4 linked regions of the Oryctolagus cuniculus genome follow. The protein of the gene in region 4 interacts with the protein of the main gene of each other region in a pairwise test. Links are inferred from orthologs where the notes say so. Each region holds a gene or a part of one and is shown on either strand. Other genes may lie near its edges.

Region 1 (4,693 bases), on a different chromosome or scaffold from region 4:
AGGGCCGCCTCCATAGGAGTGTCCCTCTCTGGACCCGGCTTTGCTCTGCAAGCCCAAACAGAAACACCTGACCCAGCACCCTCTGGGAAAAGCAACCTTTGATTCAACAAGCTGTAGCTCAGGGATGATTACCATGGTCCTAGCCACACACCGTCAGCCCCCCGGAAGTGTGAGGAGGGGAGGCAGCCAGGACAGTGCCTTCCCCTCTCACCGGGAAGCAACGCCAGCTCCAAGCGAGAGTCGGGTGGCTCGGTGCCGAAGGGAGCCGGGCCATTCGGCCATCCGTTTCCAGGATGAGGAAGCGTCCTCCGTCACTCGTGGAAGCCTTTCAGCGTCACTGGGGCCTGGAACCAGATGTAATCGTCCGAAGCCACTGTTGGGTCGGAAGGCCTGCCGCAGGACAGGCTCACGGTCAGTTTGTGGCCGCGGCTGGGCACGCGGTAGTTGAGCTTGGGTCGAAACCAATCTTCTCCACAGTCACGGTGCCCCTGAGCCATGACGATGGTGCCCATGAGCGGTGGGGCCTGCAGCTCGCTAAAGGCGTCAGCCAGGAAAATGGCCCGGAAGAGCCGGCGCAAACAGGCTGCTGTATTCAGGCTCTGGTCCACACTGTAGGGAGCCAGCCGGGACAGGTCAAGTTCGTAGAACTCCTTGGGGCTTAGGGCACTGCCCCCAAGGAGGATCAGCACTCGTGGTACCAGGGTTCGGGCAAAGAGGCCCTCCAGGTGACTGAAGACACTCTCCAGTTCCGCCAGGGCTTGTTGGCATTTCCTGCTGCTGGCCTCGGCAGCCGTCCGCGGCTTCTTCCTCACCACGTCTTCTGCCTGTGACAACAAAGCTTGGTGAGACAGAGAGACAAGGTAGGGGAAGCTAATGCCTTTTAAAGAACCCTGTGAGGGGCGATGGCGCTGTGGTGCAGTGGGTTAATGCCCTGGCTTGAAGCACCGGCATCCTAAATGGGTGCCGGTTCTAGTCCCAGCTGCTCCTCTTCTGATCCAGCTCTCTGCTGTGGCCTGGGAAAGCAGTGGAGGATAGCCCAAGTGCTTGGGCCCCTACACCCAAGTGGGAGACCTGGAAGAAGCTCCTGGCTCCTGGATTTGGATCAGCTCAGCTCCAGCTGTTGCGGCCCACTGGGGAGTGAACCATCAGATGGAAAACCCCTCTCTCTCTCTGCCTCTCCTTTTCTCTCTGTGTAATGCTGACTTTCAAATAAATAAATAAATCTTAAAAAAAAAAAAAAGTGGGGGGCGGGGGCGGCGGCACTGTGGCATACTAGGTTAAGCATCTGCCTCCGGAGCTGGCATCTCATATGGGTACCAGTTCTGGTCCCAGGAGCTCCACTTCTGATTTGGCTCCCTGCTGATGGCCTGGGAAAGCAATAGAAAATGGCTCAAGAGCTTGGGCCCCCAGCACCCACATGGGAGCCCCAGAAGAAGCTCCTGGCTCCTGGCTCCGATCAGCCTAGCTCCAGCTCTTGCAGCCATTTGGGAAGTGAAACAGATGAAAGACCTTTCTCTCTCTCTCCCTCTCTCTCTTAACTCTGTTTCTCAAGTAAATAAATAAATCTTAAAAAGACTGAACGTCTAGCTCAATGAATGTCATCGCCACATCACTGGGCTTTATCAACATCACAGCAAAAAGTGAAATCTACTCTTTGTGCCATAGTTCTCCCACCCTTCCAACAGCCAAGAGAGCGGCCAGATATAAGAAGCTAAGATAGCCAAGGAAATTTGGTGGCATGCCACAAAGCAGTCAATTTTTGCTGGGGTATATATGTATGTATGTATGTGTATATATATATATGTATATATATATGTATATATATATGAGAGCAAAATAAACTCATTTTGGGGGGAAAAAGAGCAAAGAGCATATGCGAAAGTTAAGAACTCTTAACAATGATTGCCAAAAAAAAAGAATAAGTTGTATTGGTGTTGGAATATAAAGTCAAAGAACTCCCCCATCAAGGAAAAACCAAACATGAAAATTTGGAGAAAAGAAACTAAAATGTAAAGGCTCAACTCTTCGAGTCCAAAAGCAACACTTAATAGGGGTTTCGGGAGAAGACAGCAAGAGGGAAAAAACCAGAGAGGGTCACCCCGCTGAAGACGCGAGCGCGGAGCCAGCGCCGCCGACTGTCCCTGCAGATGGCTCGGATCCCCGTTCCACCTGCTCGCCAGGCAAGAGCCGCGACGTCTCCCCCCCGTAGCCCGTGCCTACCTGGGGAGAAGGTTTTCGGTAGAAGTGCTTCAGCTGTTCGTAGGGCAGAGGCAGCTGCTGGCGCTGGTACATGATGTGCTTGAGCAGTTCACAAGTAAAGCGGCAGCAGCCTTCCCGGCTCACCGGCCCGGGAAACACCACCGGCACCATGCAGTCTCTCGGGCAGCAGTGCTCCGCAGAGCCGGGAGCCTCGGGGGCAGAGGCAGTCTCCGGCAGTTCCACCGGGGAGCCGTGAATTTCTTCCGACTGGTCAAACCACTCCAGATCTAGGACACAAGAGAGGGAAATGAGACACAAGCCAGGGTCGGGCTTCGCATTCCCTGCGGCCACCACGCACACCCCGACGCCGCAGATACCCTAGTGCGTACGTGCGGGATTCCTGACCCCCGCGGCCGTACATGACTAAGTGGCCGATACGAGAGAGATTCCCGGTCAGTGACTGAGGCTCTACTCAGAAATCGGGCTCCTGACCCAGGGAAAAGAGGGCGAGGCGCAGTCTCATCGGAGAGCGGACGAACCCGGAGCTCGGAACCAGAAGGACCAGAGGCGCGGTGATAGGACAGGACGGCAGTAGGGAAGAAACAGGGCCCCGAGGAGCCGCAAGCCCGGGCCCCCATGCCTTACCAGTGCCTGCGGCCGGCGACGGGATTTCCGGCTCCGGGGCCGCCATCGCGACCTCCTCCCTCAGCTCCGTGCGTTAGAATGATCGGCCCGCGGAGCGTCATGGGAAGCCCTCTCCACTTCCGGCTCGGCCGGAAGGGGGCGCGGCGCCACCGCCCTGGGGCGGGGTCGGGGGTGGAGCCCGCGCTGGCACCCTTAGCCCTCCGGCTACCGCGAGCCCAGGCGCTCGCGGCCACCCGCCCTCTAGCAGCCATTCATTCTTGGGTTCATTACTTTCTTCACGCCGGGCCCTGTCCTCGGTGCTGGAGGCTCCGCCGGGGACAAGCCCGGCGCGGGCCCTGCCGTCGAGGGGGGCACTGCCTATGCGTACAGTGCAATGGGATGCGTTGATACAGTGGGGTATACAAGGGCTGGGGGAGGGAAGAACTGGGGCGCCTAACCCAGAGCGGGTTGGGGCAGGGGTACGTGGTTCCAGAAGAAATGTGTGAAGATGTTGTGACCTTGTCAGTTAGCAAGGTAAAGAGGAGACCCCAAGAGACAAGAACATCATCCCCTGTTCAAGGAATGAAGAATTCCTAAAGCGCTGGGGCGTGGAGGAGACAGGATCATGACAGGATCTTCTAAGCTTTGATAGGCTTTGAACTCGATCCCCCGTAGGGAGGTAGGGAAGCTGTTTATAAGTAGGGGAAGTGACATGATTATGTTCACATCTTTCCCGTTTAATCTCCCTGCTGGCTGCACTGTAGAAGTTGGATTACAGGGAGGATAAAAGACAGGGACAGGGGTTCTAGTTCGAGGTAGTGCTGAGACAGAACGGAACCAGGGTAGTGGCAGGGGAGGGAGAGAACTGGGTGAGTCCTGGAGATACAAAGGGGCCCAATGAGCATAAATTAGTAGTTGATCCGAGGAAACAGACTGTCCAGGCTGGCGTTATAGTGCGGTGGGTTAAGCCACTGTCTGCAGTGCCGTATCATATATGGGCACCGGTTCAAATCCTGGATGCTCCGCTTCTGATCCAGCTCCCTGCTAATGTGCATGGCCCAAGATGGCCCAAGTGCTTGGGCCCCTGCACCCACGTGGGAGACCTGGAAGAGGCTCCTGGCTTCGGCCTGGCCTAGTCCAGGCTGTTGCAGCAGTTTGGGGAATGAACCAGTACTTGGAAGATCTCTTCTGCCTCTCCCTCTCTGTCTGTAACTCTGATAAACCAATCAATCAGTCAGTCTATAAAAAAGAAAAACCAGCAGGGTTGTGACTCCAGCAACTGAATTACTAGGCGCTCCATTCGATGAAAGATGGAGCAATAAACGAGGACCAGATCTACTAGGAGGTGAGAAGAAAAGATGAAACCTGCTTTTGATGGGCTGGGTTCAGTGTCACCACAGGACAGTGAATAGAGACATTTAGAAACACCATTTGGGACAGACAGCCATTAGTATGGGAGTGGATAGGATCACTCTGGGAGGCTGCAGAGTAAGTTGGGCAAGGTGGGTTAAGCCAGCAGCCCATAGGGGTATGTTTGAGTCCTGGCTGCTCCACTTCTGATCCAGCTCTCGACTATGGCCTGGGGAAGCGGTAGAAGATGGCCCAAGTCCTTGGGCCCTTGCACCCACATGGGAAACCCTGAAGAAGCTTCTGGCTCCCAGCTCCTGGCTTCGGATTGGTCCACTGCTGCCATTTGGAGAGTTAACCAGTGGATGGAAGGATTCTCTCTCTGCCGGCCCCTCCCCCACTTTTTAAAAAATATATTTATTTATTTGAAAGATAGAATTGGGCTGGCACCGTGGCTCACTAGGCACACTGGGTTCTAGTCCCAGTCGGGGCGCCGGATTCTGTCCCGGTTGCTCCTCTTCCT
Region 2 (4,722 bases), on a different chromosome or scaffold from region 4:
TAGTTTGCTAAGGTACACTCAAAATTTTAAAAAATATTTATCTATTTGAAAGATAGACAGATCTTCCATCCACTGATTTACTTCCAAAATGGCTACAGTCTCCAGGGCTGCACTAGGAGGAAGCCCAAGCATTGGAGCCATCATCTGCTTTCTTCCAGGGTGCATCAGCAGGAAGCTGGATGGGAAGAGGAGCAGCCATGACTCCAACCAGCACACTGATAGGGCATCCGGGTTTCCCAAGAAGTGGTTGAATCTGCTGCATCACAATACCTGCCCCCACAAATAAAGTGAGACAGGACACGTTTCTTCTAGAATTTCTATATATATCATAAGGGAATGCTTTCCAGTGATCATGTAACCTTATTTCCTACACCACTGTGCATCTTAATAAGATATCACACTTGTTTCAGTGTTGCCTTACTTTCCATGAGGCTTCATTCATTTATTCACGCAATGCATATTTACTGAATACAAGGGACTCTTTTAATTACTGAAGGTTTTTAAATGAACAAAACAGACAAAAATCCCCACCTTCAAAGTACTTACATTATTTTTAAGTTGTTGCAACTTTATGTTGACTCTTAAAATAAAACTCCTCAGGTGATAAAATCAAACTATTTGGCCCCTACCACCTTCATCCATACCTCCAAGTCATAGTTAGAGTCTAGAGGTAACATTTAGGAACCAGTGACTTTGTGTAATGTTCTAATCATTTTACAGAGCACCCATTTAGTCCCCAGAGTGATAAGAAGGTACTATTAAGATTCCTGTTACATAGGCAAGGAAAGAGAAAGAGAGATTTAGTTAAGAGGAAGACACAAGGTTAGATTTACTTTGGCTTCTTTAAAAAAATTTTTTTGACTTATTTATTTGCAAAGCAGAGAGAGACAGAGCTCTTTCATCCACTGATTCACTCACCAACTGGCCACAAGGCCGGGGGCTGGGCCAGGCTGAAGCTAGGAGTCTGGAACTCCATTCTGGTCTCCCAGGTGGCTTGCAGAGCCCCAAGTACCTGAGCCCTCAGCTGCTGCCTCCCAGGACAGGATGCATCCGCAGGAAGCCGGATCAGGAGCAGAGCAGCCTGGACACAAATACGGGACGCTGGAGCCCCACGCAACGTCCCAAGCCATGGGGCCCTTTGCTTTGACTCCTAAAGCCTTCCTATTCCAGGTGGCTCTTAGCACGTCTCAGATGACGGATGAACGAATGACCAAATGCACGGTTTTGAATTTCCATTCACTAACACCTTAAGTTATCTCCAGAAAAATCTAAGCATCTGCGGGGAGTGCAGTGAGAAGGGTGTCGGGAACTCAAGTGTTTTGTGGTGTTTTGAGTGAGTTTAGGTAGATGTTAAAGGCACACCCCACTCAGTCTCTGCTCCAGGGCCTCCGACTCCAGCTCTGCCTCTCAGAGTTAAGCTCATCAGCAGAGTGTTGAGGAGCTACCTCAGAACCCCTGGCAGCAGTATAGGCTGTCCTAAAGGTGAGGCTGACCCATAGAAGGGGTGAAACCAGCAGGAGGGGCTGCGCCCGCAAACCTCACATAGGATTCAGAAAGGTAGAGGGAACTGCTATGTGAGTTAAAACCTCCCTCAGTCTTAGTGGGGGTAAATGAACCACTCTTTTTTATTACCTCACAGCATGGCCCCAGGGTTCTATCCAGTTCTCTCAACCCTCTTCCGTTTTCCCGGGCCCTCTTTCAGCAGAGCACGTAGGCGCATGCGCAGAGAGTTCCCCAGCTTGGGGCCGCGGGAGACCGGGAGGCATCGATCGACTCGGCGCTGGGCTTCTCGACTTGTCGGCGCTCGATTGAGGAGTTTCATTGTCACTTCCGCCTTCGGCACCGTTTCCGGCTTCCGGTTGCTCGTGGGAACGGCGTAGTCCTCTGGTGAGTCGGATTCCCGTTTTCCTCGGTTTTGCGGTTCTTCACGCTGCTCAGCCCGAACAGTACGAGGCGCGAGGTGTGGTCGGGTGGCGTCTCGCCTTGGTTTTGTGGAGGGGTCGGTTTGAGACGAGGGAGCGGCCATGCAGGGGAGCTTAGCAGCGGCGCGCGTCTCTGGCGGGACTGGCGCGGTCCTTGGATCGCGGCGTGGCCCCGGGGCAGAGAGTCTGTGTCTGGAGAGGCAGGAAGCTGGCGCGTACAGAGTACGCCCGTTAATGCGAGGCGTGGGAGATTCCAGGTGGTTTCCTGCGGATCTGTTGTTTCTGTTTTGGCGGAGGGGAGAGGTGCGACACCAGGTGCCCTGCTCTGATTAGCCCAGCACCGAGCTTCTTGGTCTCTTGTTCTCCTCGCCTTCACTTTAATCTCTCTCGCTCCCTTCTCATGGTCAAAACTTGGCGACCCCCTGCTCCTCTTCCAGGTTTCGACTGGGGAAATGTCGAGTCTTTAAGAAACGTTTCTATTCATCTGCCACCTGCACAAGTACATCGGTCTATAGGCTCCTCCCTCGCTGTGTGTAAACACAGCAAGCAGTGTTTAGTACCTAATTATCTGTGGGCCATCCAGGGAAGTAAAGCAAGGTCACACTTGGCAACTTAAAAACCACGTGAAGTGTGGAAATCGTCCAGTGGGTTGCAAGGACGGAATTCCCAGGCCTTCTGATCAAGAGCTGTGTGACCTCAAGCGTGCTCCCTGACTTGTAACAGCCATGATATTAGCTCCTTTGGGGGCTTCTGATGCAAGAGCTGTGCTAGAACTTCGGGGGCTCTGGCCAGCCCCGCCCCCACCTCAGCCCCGTCTGACAGATGAAGACCTGAGAGATTAAGGTCTTTGCCAAGTCTGTTAGAGGTCATCCTGGAGTGAAGATGGCAGGTGGAAATTTATGCACAGTGATTGATAGATATGGAAGTGCTTTGTAAGTGCACCCAGGAACAAACTACATTGATGTTCTGTCTTAACGATTTGTTCTGGATTGTACACTTGGTAGTTTCTTTTTCATTTTTCTTTATGTCAAAATTTTTAAACCAGCTTACAAATACAAGTTACTTCATTAGGCAGATGGGAAGTAGCACAAGTGAAAGGAAAGTATAAAAATGTATTGAATACAATTTTATTAAACTCTGGCAAGCTGCTGTTGTTTCACTAAATTTTGAGCTTGAGAATTGTAAAAATGAGGGCTTGCGGTTTGCATCTGATGTAGCAGTTAAGATGTCTGCCCCATGTCAGAGTGCCTGGGCTTGAGTTCCGGCTCTCGCTCCTGACTCCGGCTTCCGCTAATGCAGACCTGAGAGACAGCAGTGGTGGCTCAAGTGATTGGGTTCTTGCACACACGTGGGACACCTGGATTGAGGAGCCTCTAGCTTCACTTGACCTCAGTCGAGCTGGGCCACAGCTGGGCATTTGGGACGTGAAGCAGAGCTTTGGAGCTCATTGTCTGCCTCTGGCTGTGTGTGCGTTTGCCTCTCAAACAGAAATACAGAGGAGGACTAGCTATTGCTGGAGAGAGAGTCTATGACCCAACTGACATTCTGACATAGCGATTGAAAGAAAACGGAAAAGCCAACAGCTTTCTGCTGTATTGATTTAATCACACCTGTTTGTAACAGTTTTTTTTTTTTTTTTTTATCCTCTCTTTAGGCTATTTGAACATTTTAACTCAGACATGGATATCAGACCAAATCATACAATTTATATTAATAATATGAATGACAAAATTAAAAAAGAAGGTAAGTGTTTTTAAAAATACTTATTGATAACTAAAATGTGTTTGTTTACTACCATCTTACAAAATTGTACTACACCCAAACTCATTTTTCTTACCTCCAGTAATAAATTTTTTTTTTTTTTTTTTTTTGACAGGCATAGTGGACAGTGAGAGAGAGAGAGACAGAGAGAAAGGTCTTCCTTTTGCCGTTGGTTCACCCTCCAATGGCCGCCGCGGCCGGCGCATCACGCTGATCCAATGGCAGGAGCCAGGAGCCAGGTGCTTTTCCTGGTCTCCCATGGGGTGCAGGGCCCAAGCACCTGGGCCATCCTCTACTGCACTCCCTGGCCACAGCAGAGGGCTGGCCTGGAAGAGGGGCAACCGGGACAGAATCTGGCTCCCTGACTGGGACTAGAACCCGGTGTGCCGGCGCCCCAAGGCGGAGGATTAGCCTAGTGAGCCGCGGTGCCGGCCTCCAGTAATAAATTTATAAAGTTTGTGTAAGGATTTCCAGGCTTTTTAAAAACAAAAATAGGTAGTGACTGACAACATGCTGAATCTGTTCTTACTCATAGCTACTCATATAATGGTTTCAAATAACTTTTTACGTTAGATAACCAATGGGAATAGCAATTTGTGTTTTTACTTACATATATAACTACTAACTGTATAAATAAATGGTGACAGAGCACTCAATGTACTGTCATTTAATGAAGAATTTTCTCATTCCTTCGTTCACAAGTTATTTCCCCTCTTATTTGGACAGAATTGAAGAGATCCCTGTATGCCCTATTTTCTCAGTTTGGCCATGTGGTAGATATTGTGGCTTTAAAGACCATGAAGATGAGAGGGCAGGCCTTTGTTATTTTTAAGGAACTGGGCTCATCCACAAATGCTTTGAGACAGTTACAAGGATTTCCATTTTATGGTAAACCAATGGTAAGCCAGTACTGTTACTTTTGCTTTAATCACTATGAATGTTTCGTAGATTTGTAAATATATGCTTGAAACTGTGGTTTTTGCTTTCACTTTTAATTAAGTGTGTTATAGGGAGTTCGAGTTCCTTTTATTTATGTATT
Region 3 (5,031 bases), on a different chromosome or scaffold from region 4:
CCTTGTGTAGATTCTGAGTATTGTCTTCCCCTATTAAAAATGTAAGCCTCATAAAAGATTTGATTTTGTTCCTACCTGAGTCACCATGGCCTACCACAGTGCCTACCACACTGCAGGTTCTCAGTGTTTTCTCAACAAATGAATGGGTATCAGATATGTGGAAGAAAATTCCCACTGATCTTGCCACAAGAACGAACAATGAGTCTCTTCTACATTTACTTGAGGTTAAAACATGAAGTCTACAATGAAACAGAGACAGCAGAGTAGAATTTCCAGCCTACCCAGATGTCTTCAGCAAAAAGAAAACAAAACAAAAAACAACATTGTCCTTACACTTCTGGATTTGCAACAAAGTACTTTTAATAAACTGGCTCCAATTGGTACCTTTCTCTGAAGGGAGGAGAGAACTTCCACTCTGACTACGACCTTGTCTAAATATGATCAGAGTTGGTGAACTCAAAAGGCTTCCATAGCCTTGGCAACTCATGACAAGAGCCTAGGGTGATTACTGAGGCCATAAACAAGAGTGTCAATTTGTTAAGTCAACAACAGGAGTCACTGTGCACTTACTCCTCATGTAGGATCTCTGTCCTTAATGTGCTGCACATTGTGATTTAATGCTATAGCTAGTACTTAAACAGTATTTTTCACTTTGTGTTTCTATGTGGGTGCAAACTGTTGAAATCTTTACTTAATATATGCTAAACTGATCTGTATATAAAGAGAATTGAAAATGAATCTTGATGTGAATGGAAGGGGAGAGGGAGTGGGAAAGGGGAGGGTTGTGGGTGGGAGGGAAGTTATGGAGGGGGGGAAGCCACTGTAATCCATAAGCTGTACTTTGGAAATTTATATTAATTAAATAAAAGTTAAAAATAAATAAATACATAAATAAATAAACTGGCTCCAATTATGGAGAGAGGACATGATTACTAAATCTCATATAACTCTTATGAACAAAATGGAAAAGGAAGAGGGCTCAGCTGCTTAATCCACCACTTGGGACCTGTAAATCCCATACTGGAGTGCCTGGGATTGGAGTCCCAGTTCCTCCACTTCTGACTCAGCCTCCTGCTAATGAGCTGGGAAGGCAGCAGGTTATGGCTCAAGTACTTGGGTCCCTTCCACCCAGGTGGGAAACCTGGATGAAGATTCTAGCTCCTGAATTTGGGAAATGAACCAGTGGATGGAAGAAGGTGTGTGTGTGTGTGTGTGTGTGTGTGTGTCCATCCCCCCACCCCCAGCAAAGTTCAATGCCTAACTAGTTCTTCTTACTAATTACTTAACTAATAAGAAGTATAAACTTTCAAAAGCAGGCTATTTTTCTACACCCTAAGTGTAATTGCATCTCCAAGAAAACAGACCTCAGCAAAAATTTCTTAGCAGTTCCGACCTCAGCCCTTCTCCAACACCAATACCTTTATCTCTCTCCATCATCCCAGAGGCTTCCTGGAGCCCCTGCACTCAAACCAATCAACCTCGAGCCCTCCTAGGTCTAATTATCGGAGCCCACCCAGCGGCATTCCAGCGTTTCCCAGGCCCACCCTCGCCGGCCCACTGGGCGTCCGCTTAACAGGAGGCCCTGCCAACCCAGAGTGCTACAACATCACAGAATCTGGGGGTAGCAGGGACCTCTGAGCAAGGCTAGAACCGGAGGACATCTTAGACTTCATCCCGCGCTGCCAATTTCAGTGTGACCTTGGGCATGCTACTCAACCCTTAGGGGTTCCAGTTTGCTTCCCCTGCAAGGTGAGGGTCACAGCTGGACCAAGTACGGATTTAAAGAAATCACACGTAACGCCCCTGATAGGGCGCCGGGCACCAAACGGCAACTCAATCATCATCTACGGGTAGCCTGCAGTACTGCCCAGCTCTCCCCACACGGTGTCCGAGCTGGAGGGCACCTGACGGGTATGCTACAACCTCCCAGCTGTGCAGAAGGGGACGCCAGCAGGGAAGCACCTGGCCCCGACCACCGCCCAGATGACAGGCGTTGGACCTGGAGCCCAGGACCCCTGTCCCCCAGCCCACTCTCTAGCGCTCGCCCCCAGCCCCGCCTGCCAGGCCGGGGCGCCGCTGCTGGGCGAGGCGCTGCCCGCCGCCCGCGCGGGGTCCACGTTCTCAGCTGCCCGGAGCCGCGCCACCTGCCGCGGGGCCCTGCGCCGGTTCGCTGCTCGGCCCGGCCCAGCCACCCGCCAGCCCCGCAGCCCCGAGCGGCTGCGGCCTCGGCGCGTACTCAACTCTTCACTTTGCCGAAGGTGCCGACGCCCAGCGTGTCCCCCAGAACGTAGTGACCGATCTTCACCCGCCCGTCATGCTTCTGCTTCTCAGCCATCTTCGGCTCGCGCGGCCTCGCTCCGCCGCGGCCCCTCAGCGCGGACGCCGCCGCCGCCGCCGCCGCCTACCCACAGTGCAGCGGGACCCGCGGGGGGCGGGCCGCAGGCGACGAGGGGCGCGGGCGCCGGCGGCCGGGGTCCCGGGAGAGGGCGCGACCGAGTCCGGAGCGGGGAGCCGCGGCCCGGCGTGACCGACGCCTGTGGCGGAGCCGGAGGCGGCGGCGGCCGCGCTGAGGGCGCGGGGCGCAGGCTGGGAGAGAGGGCGGGGCCCAGCCAGGTGCGCGGATGGCAGCGAGGGTCGGCGGGCGGCAGGTGCTGAGAGGGCGGGCGGCGGCGGCGACCCGAGGGCGAGGGTGGCTGGGGGCGCTCTCTGAGGGAGAGCCGAGAGAATGGGACTGTGGGGGTGAGACCTGGATCCGATCTGAGGGAATGGAAAGAGGTGGAAGTCGAATTTGAAGAGAAACAGGCCCAAAGCCCCAAACCGCGATGTGGGCTGGGAGGCGGAGGCCAGGGGCCGGTGCAAAGGGCAGTCGGGGGAGCGCCCCGGGGAAGTTGCCGGGGTCTCGGCTGTTTCTGATCCAGCTATTGGAGCACTCACAGCGGTGCTCTCCTCACTTGTCCTCCTCTGCCTACTTCATCATTCTCACTTGCTTTGTCCTTAGATGGAAGAGAGATCTCAGCTGTAACCGATGTGCAGCTTCCAGTAAATCCCCGTCGCCGTGTTAGCTCGGGTGTTTGATCGCCTGCCTATATACATACACAGTAGGGAAATGATATGTGACAGAGCTGCCCAGGAAGGAATGGTGAGTGCACAGGAAGTAAATTACAAAGGTGTTCCAAAAAGTTCTTGGAGGGACACGGCGCCCCATAGCCGGCCACCGCTCCTGACTCCAGCTTCTTGCTGATGCAGACCCAGGGAGGCCGCAGGATAACTCAGACCCTTGGGACCCTGCCACTCACGTGGGAGACCTGGACTGAATTCCCAGCTCCCCTCCTGGCCCTGGCCCAGCTCTGGCCTTTGTGGAAATTTGGAGAGTGAATCAGCAGATGAGATCTCTCTCTCTCTCTCTCTCCCTCCCTCCCTCCCTCTCCCTCTCTCTCTCTCTCCCTCTCCCTCTCCTTTTCCCTCTCCCTCTCTCTTTCAAATTAATTTTTAACCCCATGGAAGATAAATTTAATTGAAATGTTTACTTTGAAAAACACGTGAATGAGCGGTCTTCATCAAGTTCATGAAAATGTGTATGATGAAAAACTGTGCATGGATTTCAAAGTCTTTGGCACCAAAATAAGCTTGCCTTTTAATTTCATTGTTCCACGAACATTTAAAGTACCCTTGTACATGAAGGACAAAGGAATTGTGAAAAGCAAGGACAGTATAAAGACACAATTTAAAGTATGATAAGTAGAAAAAAATGGTAAGAGGAAATGAGAATCATGATTCCTCCCCCACCACCACCACCACCCCTGCCTGGGGAGGGAATATTAAAAAGAAAGAAAAAAAGAGAGAGAGAAAGAACTAGGTGAAGTGCTGATCTCTTCCATCTCTTCATTCCTTCCCCTCTTTCCTTCCTTTGTTTAATAGTATCCTATTCTTCAATGTTGTCCTATCTTTCAAAATTATTACTATAATTATTTGTTTCTCACCACAAAAACAGCTATTATGACTAATGCATGTGTTACTGGCTTGATGTAGCCATTCCACTATTATATACATTTCAAAACAACATGTTGCATCTGATGTGTGTAAAATTTTCATTTTTCAATGATGTAAAATTTTTAAAGATTAATTTTAAGATTATTTGCTATTTGAAGATGAATTGTTAAAAATTAGTGAGATGCTTTTAGCACTGTGCTTGCTAGTGGAGTTTCAAGGTCACATTCCTCAAGCTTGAAGTCTGTTATACTGCTTACATGTAAAGAATATATTGATCAGAAAGACTAGGTTGTGAAATTTTTTTTTTTTTTTGCTTTCTGAAAAGTAGTAAATATACAAATGGCATCTATTCATTCTTGGCTAGACACCAAGACAATCTGATGAGAGATGAACACCACTTATAAATTACAGATATCGCACCTGTTACACAGAGGCTATTTTCGTTCATTCTTCGGATCATCTTTCTTGCTGACAAGAAGTATCATTTAAGAATCACACTACCTAGCTGGCAATTTTGAGAGCACAACCAGTCATTTTTAATGCTGAACTTTCATTTGGTTCAGGGTCACTCCTTCCGTCCTTCAGTGTTCATTCAGGTGAGCAAGAGAACAAAATTCCTGTTCAGCTTTTGAGCTGTTTCTGTCTTTCATTCTAACATCCATTTCAAACATGTTGAAAACTCTTTACTGAAGTTAGTTTCTTGAAACTTGGTACAAAGAGACCATACATTGAGATTCTTAAAGTACTTTACACTGCCTTAACTAACCATTAATAATTACCAGTTGAATTGTTATGTACTGCATAACTACGATTTTTACACTGCTACTATGAACAACCTTGTAACTTTATACCAAACATATATGATATTTTGTTGGCTAAGAAGTTGTTTTAAACACAATTATTTACTTCTCATAAAAGAAACTTATTATCCCCATTTTATAGATGATAAAACTAGTTTTTCCTTTCTGATTTGCCCAAGGCTAAAAGCTAAGCAGCAGAGAAGCAGAGACAAACTCACATCTAGTTCTAACTTGTCTTTTT
Region 4 (5,272 bases):
GATCCTGGACTTGGAATTACAAAAGGTGGGTGATTCCAGCGAGTGTTGGGACACTCGCTCCCAACAGTCAGGGGTGGAGGTAGCATTCAAGTTTATGGGGGGGGGGTACTCCAAGGATGATAGAAGAAACTCCCCTGCCTTAGTTCTAAAGTACAGGCTGAACCCTCTATGTGAGTTGAACTCTATGTAGGTCTAGACGGGTGGAGAATGTCTGGCCCACAGGCCATGTACGGTCCTCAACATCATTTGGTCAGGCCCCACCAAGGCAATCGCAGTAGAGACTGGAAATTCAAACTGATAGCAGGCTAATTTTTTTTTTTTTTTTGACAGGCAGAGTGGACAGTGAGAAAGAGAGACAGAGAGAAAGGTCTTCCTTTACCGTTGGTTCACCCTCCAATGGCCGCTGCGGCTGTTACGCTGCGGCCCGCGCACTGCGCTGATCCGATGGCAGGAGCCAGGTACTTATCCTGGTCTCCCATGGGGTGCAGGACCCAAGTACTTGGGCCATCCTCCACTGCACTCCCGGGCCATAGCAGAGAGCTGGCTTGGAAGAGGGGCAACTGGGACAGAATCCGGCACCCCGACCGGGACTAGAACCTGGTGTGCCAGCGCTGCAAGGCGGAGGATTAGCCTAGTAAGCTGCGGCGCCGGCCCGCAGGCTAATTTTTAAGTTGGTACTTTTGCATGGCCCACAAATGATGTTTATATATATATATATGTATATATGTATACATGTATATGTGTGTGTGTATATATATATCTCCAAATGGCTCTTGGCAGAAAAAAAAGGTCCCTCACCACTGGTGAATGTGGAGTGGACTGGGGTGGGCCGGGGTGAGGGGGAGAAGCCTCGGCTGATGGTGAGAGTCCCATGTTTTGCAGGACAGTCCCCTGCCAGCCCTTCCAGGGACTAACACTGGAGAATGTGATGCCTGTCATCTGCCCTTTGCACGGCTCAGACATTAGCAGGGCTGACCAGAGGCACGCTCGCCCTACAGCTGGAGGCCCTGCAGGTGCAGCGTCCTCCCTGTCACAGACCTTCACCACTGGAGGAGCTGCAGCAACACGCCAACATCGTCACAGGTTTTTCTAAAACTTGGGGAAAAAAAAAACACCCCAAACTGGAATTGACTGGTATCTCCTTCTTGACTTGACCTCTGTCACATGTCCCTTTCTCAGGTGTCCACAGAGAGGTGATGGGCACTTGGAGACTGGCTGAGGGAGCTGAGGAGGGATCACGTGTACTGTGGGGTTAGTAGGTATACTTGATGGGTTTTGCAGTTACTTCTGTGAATAGAATCAATTATCCCCAGGTGGATACAGTGTTATGGATTAAACTGTGTCCTCCCAAACTTAGGGTTAATGTCCTGTCCCCCAGTACCTCAGAACGTAGCTTCGTGTGGAGTTAGGTTGTTTCTCGAGGTGATTAAGTTCAGCTGAGATGGATGAATTAGGGTGGGTCCTAACACAGTGTGACTGCTGACCTTCCACGAGGAAATCTGGGCACAGACTTGTGATGCACAGGCAGAGGGAAGACCATGAGCAGACAGCCTTCTACAATCAAGGACAGAAGCCTCAGGATGCAGTCAGCTCAGCCAGTGCCCTTGTCTTGGACCTCTAGTCTCCAGGACTGAGAAAACAAATTTAGCACACACCCAGTCTCTGCTATTTTTGTATGGCAGCCCTGAAAAATTAAATTACTTATATGTTTTAAAAATGTGTATTTACTGCCATTTTATTTGAAAGTCAGAAAGAGAGATCTTCCCTCTGCTGGAACACTCCTGAAATGCCTCAATAGCCAGCACTGGGCTAGGCCAAAGCCGGGAGCCCAGAACTCAATCTAGGCTGGCAGGCAACCAAGGACTTGAGCCATCACCCGCTGCCTCCTAGTGTGTGCATTAGCAGGAAGCTGGATCAGGGATGGAGGAGCCTAGAGGAGCTGGGACTCCAAACAAGCACTCTGATGCAAGACGGGAGTGTCTCGGCTGCTGACTTAACTTCTGAGCCAAATGCCTGCCTGTATGTTTATTTCCATTTTTTATTTGAAAGGCAGAGATCAAGCTGAGACCAGGAGCACAGAACTCAATCCAGGTTTCCCATGTGGGTGGCAAGGATCCAAGCACCTGAACCACCACTGCTGCTACCCAGAGTGTGCATCAGTGAGAAGTTGTATTGGAAGCAGAGTCAGGACTTGAACCAAGCACTCCCATACAAGTTGCAGGTGCCCCAAGCAGCATCCTAAGCACTGTGCTACAAATGTGCCTGCCCCCAAACTAATATTTATAGTTCCCATTATTCTTTTTTTTTTTTTTTTTTTTTTTGACAGGCAGAGTGGACAGTGAGAGAGAGACAGAGAGAAAGGTCTTCCTTTTGCCGTTGGTTCACCCTCCAGTGGCCGCTGCGGCCGGCGCACCACGCTGATCCAAAGCCAGGAGCCAGGTGCTTCTCCTGGTCTCCCATGGGGTGCAGGGCCCAAGCACTTGGGCCATCCTCCATTGCACTCCCTGGCCACAGCAGAGAGCTGGCCTGGAAGAGGGGCAACCGGGACAGAATCCGGCGCCCTGACCAGGACTAGAACCCAGTGTGCCGGTGCCACAGGCGGAGGATTAGCCTAGTGAGCTGCGGCGCCGGCTAGTTCCCATTATTCTTGATACTATCAATTCAGAATATATGACATTAGCCATTACAAATTCGAAAAGCTCCAAAATTTTATAGTGGTTTTACCAAGTTTGACAAAAATTCTAAACATTTATGAAAGTATCACAAGGCATGGGGGCAAAATTTTTTAAAATTAACAATACAAAAGTGATCATGTTAGAAGACTCATAGAAAACATACAATCATTATACGAAAAGGCTATCAAAGGCTGTTGGCAAAAAAAGTGGAAATATGAATAATTTTAGGCAGATATTTGGCAGCTTTTTAAAAAATTGTAATTTGTCATTCTGAAAATATCATAATTTTGTATTTAATTTTCTTAAAGGGGCTCCAAAAGTTGCATACTTCAGGTACCCAGAAGCCTGGCTCCAGCCTAGGACTACCAGATGGCCATGGTGAGTCTCTGCCTCCTTAGGGGAACTCTGCTCCAGTGCTCGTGCCCTGTCTCCTAGAAAGACCAGAGCCGCAGGCAGTGAGGCGGCCGACTACTCAGACCTGCGAGTACTGAGGCTTGGAGACAGAGTTGGGAGAGCGAAAGTTAACGCGGAAGGAGTTTGTGGCAGGAGGAGCTCAAACCTACCCCAGAAGACGTGAGGAGTCTGTGCAGGGCTTGGGGCTCCGACTCCAGGCAGGAAGCCGTGGAGAGAAGCCCTGGAAAGCCCCGCCTTACCTCTCCGTGGGTGTTTGCTCCTCATGCTGACCCTGCCCTTCAGCACTCTTAGAGCACACTGAAGAGCGGTGGGCTGGGCAGCGATGACGTCACAGGTCGGCCTTTGTGATGTAAGGAGGAGCTATCAGGCATTCCGTGCTTGGGGCTTGCCTCCTAGGAATGCTGTCACCTCATTACTTTGTGGTAATTGGATTCTCTCATCACTCAGGTGATGTGGGAGCCAATCCTGTGAGAACTTGCTCTTTCAAGGACTCCCTCTGTTATCTATTTCTATCCCTCCATTCTGGATTCCACAGAGGTCTTGCCTTCCTTTCCCCTCCGTTAGCTGTCTTACCCTTTGTTTTAGGGTAACCCCTTATTAGGGAAGGGCATTGTTCTTCCCTCCACTACTCAAGAGCAGAAAGTAACGAGATGACCCCCTAAAAGAGGAAGAATCCCCTGTGAAAAGCAGAAACAGTTTTCCCAGACTGTTCCTTTAACAACACCAACAGCTGGTGCTGGGTGCCAGGGAACTGAAGAGCCAGGCCCTGACTATGCTCCCACTACCCAAAAGGGTGGAGGGATCCTGTTGTGGTGTCTTAAACCATGGCTGCCCATCTCTCCCGTGGTCTTCTTCCATGCAACTTCCAAACAGCCAGAGGACTCCAGCAGAAAAGGAATAGGACTTTTTAAGATTTATTTATTTGAAAAGCAGAGTTACACAGAGAAGAGAAAAAAAAGAGAGAGAGATCTTCCATCTGCTGGTTCACTCTCCAAATGGCTTCAATGGCCTGGGCTGGCCCAGACTAGACAGGAATCTGGAACTCCATCCAAGTCTTCCATGGGGGTGGCACAGACCCAAACATTTGGGCCATCTTTGGCTGCTTTCCCAGGTGTATTAGCAGGGACCTGGATTAGAAGTGGAGTAGGCGGGACTCAGACTGGTGCTCATAGGGGATGATGGCATCACAGGCAGTAGATTAACCTGCTGCGATATGCCAGCAGCCCCGGAGCAGGACTTTTAGGAAATGACCAGGCTAGCATTTGTCTTAGTGGTCGACGCTGCTTGGGACGACCACATCCCATACTGGAGTGCTAGGTTCAGGTCCTGGCTTTGCTCCAGATTCCAGCTAATGAGCACTGTGGGAAACAGCAGTGGATGGCTCAAGTAGCTAGGTCCTCACCCTCCATGTGGGAGACCTGGATTAGGTTCTCAGTTCCTGGCTTCAGCCTGGGCCAACCTTGGCTATTGTGGAGATTTGAGGAGTGAACCAATGGACAGGAGCTGTCTCTCAAGGAAGGAAGGAAGGAAGGAAGGAAGGAAGGAAGGAAGGAAGGAAGGAAGGAGAAGGAAGGAAGGAAGGAAGGAAGGAAGGAAGGAAGGAAGGAAGGAAGGAAAGAAAGAAGGAAAGAAGGAAAGAGAGAGAGAGAAAGAAAGAGAAAGAGAAAGAAAGAGAGAGAGAAGGAAAGAGAGAGAGAAGGAAAGAAAGAGAAAGAGAGAAAGAAAGAAGGAAAGAAAGAGAGAGAAAGAGAGAAAGAGAGAGAAAGAGAGAAAGAGAGAGAGAGAAGGAAAGAAGGAAAGAGAAAGAGAGAAAGAAAGAAGGAAAGAAAGAGAGAGAGAGAGAGAAAGAGAAAGAGAGAGAAGAGAGAGAAGGAAAGAAGGAAAGGAAAGAGAGAAAGAAAGAAAGAAGGAAAGAAAGAGAGAAAGAGAGAGAGAGAGAAAGAGAGAGAGAGAGAGAAAGAGAGAAAGAAAGAGAAAAAGAAAGAAAGAGAGAGAGAGAAAGAGGAGTGAGGGTTTAGGAAGGGAATCTTGCATCTAGACTTCTTGCCACCCTCAGCCCCAAACAAAGAATACTTCTGAGTGTTTTATGATGTACTTTGTTTTCATATTTCAACTTTATTTCAAATATAAGGTTGAATATCCAGAAGGGAGGGCAGCTGCATGAGGAAGCTCAAGTGACACAC

What was found. The genes of interacting proteins can lie anywhere in the genome.
Region 1: the proteins of HOMEZ (region 4) and MAD2L1BP interact in binary tests that used the Homo sapiens proteins (3 or more experiments, as listed by UniProt). The two-hybrid records come from large-scale screens. The link is inferred for Oryctolagus cuniculus from reciprocal best matches to the Homo sapiens genes HOMEZ and MAD2L1BP.
Region 2: the proteins of HOMEZ (region 4) and SNRPB2 interact in binary tests that used the Homo sapiens proteins (3 or more experiments, as listed by UniProt). The two-hybrid records come from large-scale screens. The link is inferred for Oryctolagus cuniculus from reciprocal best matches to the Homo sapiens genes HOMEZ and SNRPB2.
Region 3: the proteins of HOMEZ (region 4) and PRKAA2 interact in binary tests that used the Homo sapiens proteins (3 or more experiments, as listed by UniProt). The two-hybrid records come from large-scale screens. The link is inferred for Oryctolagus cuniculus from reciprocal best matches to the Homo sapiens genes HOMEZ and PRKAA2.

Annotation. Positions count from the first base shown.
Region 1 is NC_091436.1:126,439,701-126,444,393, forward strand, and holds the start of MAD2L1BP (MAD2L1-binding protein), read right to left. Parts: upstream 2,987-4,693; 5' UTR 2,891-2,986; coding exon 2,845-2,890; intron 2,487-2,844; coding exon 2,221-2,486; intron 825-2,220; coding exon 312-824; 3' UTR 1-311. UniProt on the Homo sapiens protein: May function to silence the spindle checkpoint and allow mitosis to proceed through anaphase by binding MAD2L1 after it has become dissociated from the MAD2L1-CDC20 complex.
Region 2 is NC_091442.1:41,759,964-41,764,685, forward strand, and holds the start of SNRPB2 (U2 small nuclear ribonucleoprotein B''), read left to right. Parts: upstream 1-1,736; 5' UTR 1,737-1,887; exon of another isoform or gene 1,888-1,960; intron 1,961-3,576; 5' UTR 3,577-3,601; coding exon 3,602-3,665; intron 3,666-4,409; coding exon 4,410-4,582; intron 4,583-4,722. UniProt on the Homo sapiens protein: Involved in pre-mRNA splicing as component of the spliceosome. Associated with sn-RNP U2, where it contributes to the binding of stem loop IV of U2 snRNA.
Region 3 is NC_091438.1:116,548,093-116,553,123, forward strand, and holds the start of PRKAA2 (5'-AMP-activated protein kinase catalytic subunit alpha-2), read right to left. Parts: upstream 2,987-5,031; 5' UTR 2,336-2,986; coding exon 2,242-2,335; intron 1-2,241. UniProt on the Homo sapiens protein: Catalytic subunit of AMP-activated protein kinase (AMPK), an energy sensor protein kinase that plays a key role in regulating cellular energy metabolism.
Region 4 is NC_091443.1:51,743,789-51,749,060, reverse strand, and holds the start of HOMEZ (homeobox and leucine zipper protein Homez), read right to left. Parts: upstream 3,389-5,272; 5' UTR 3,354-3,388; coding exon 3,239-3,353; intron 1-3,238. UniProt on the Homo sapiens protein: May function as a transcriptional regulator.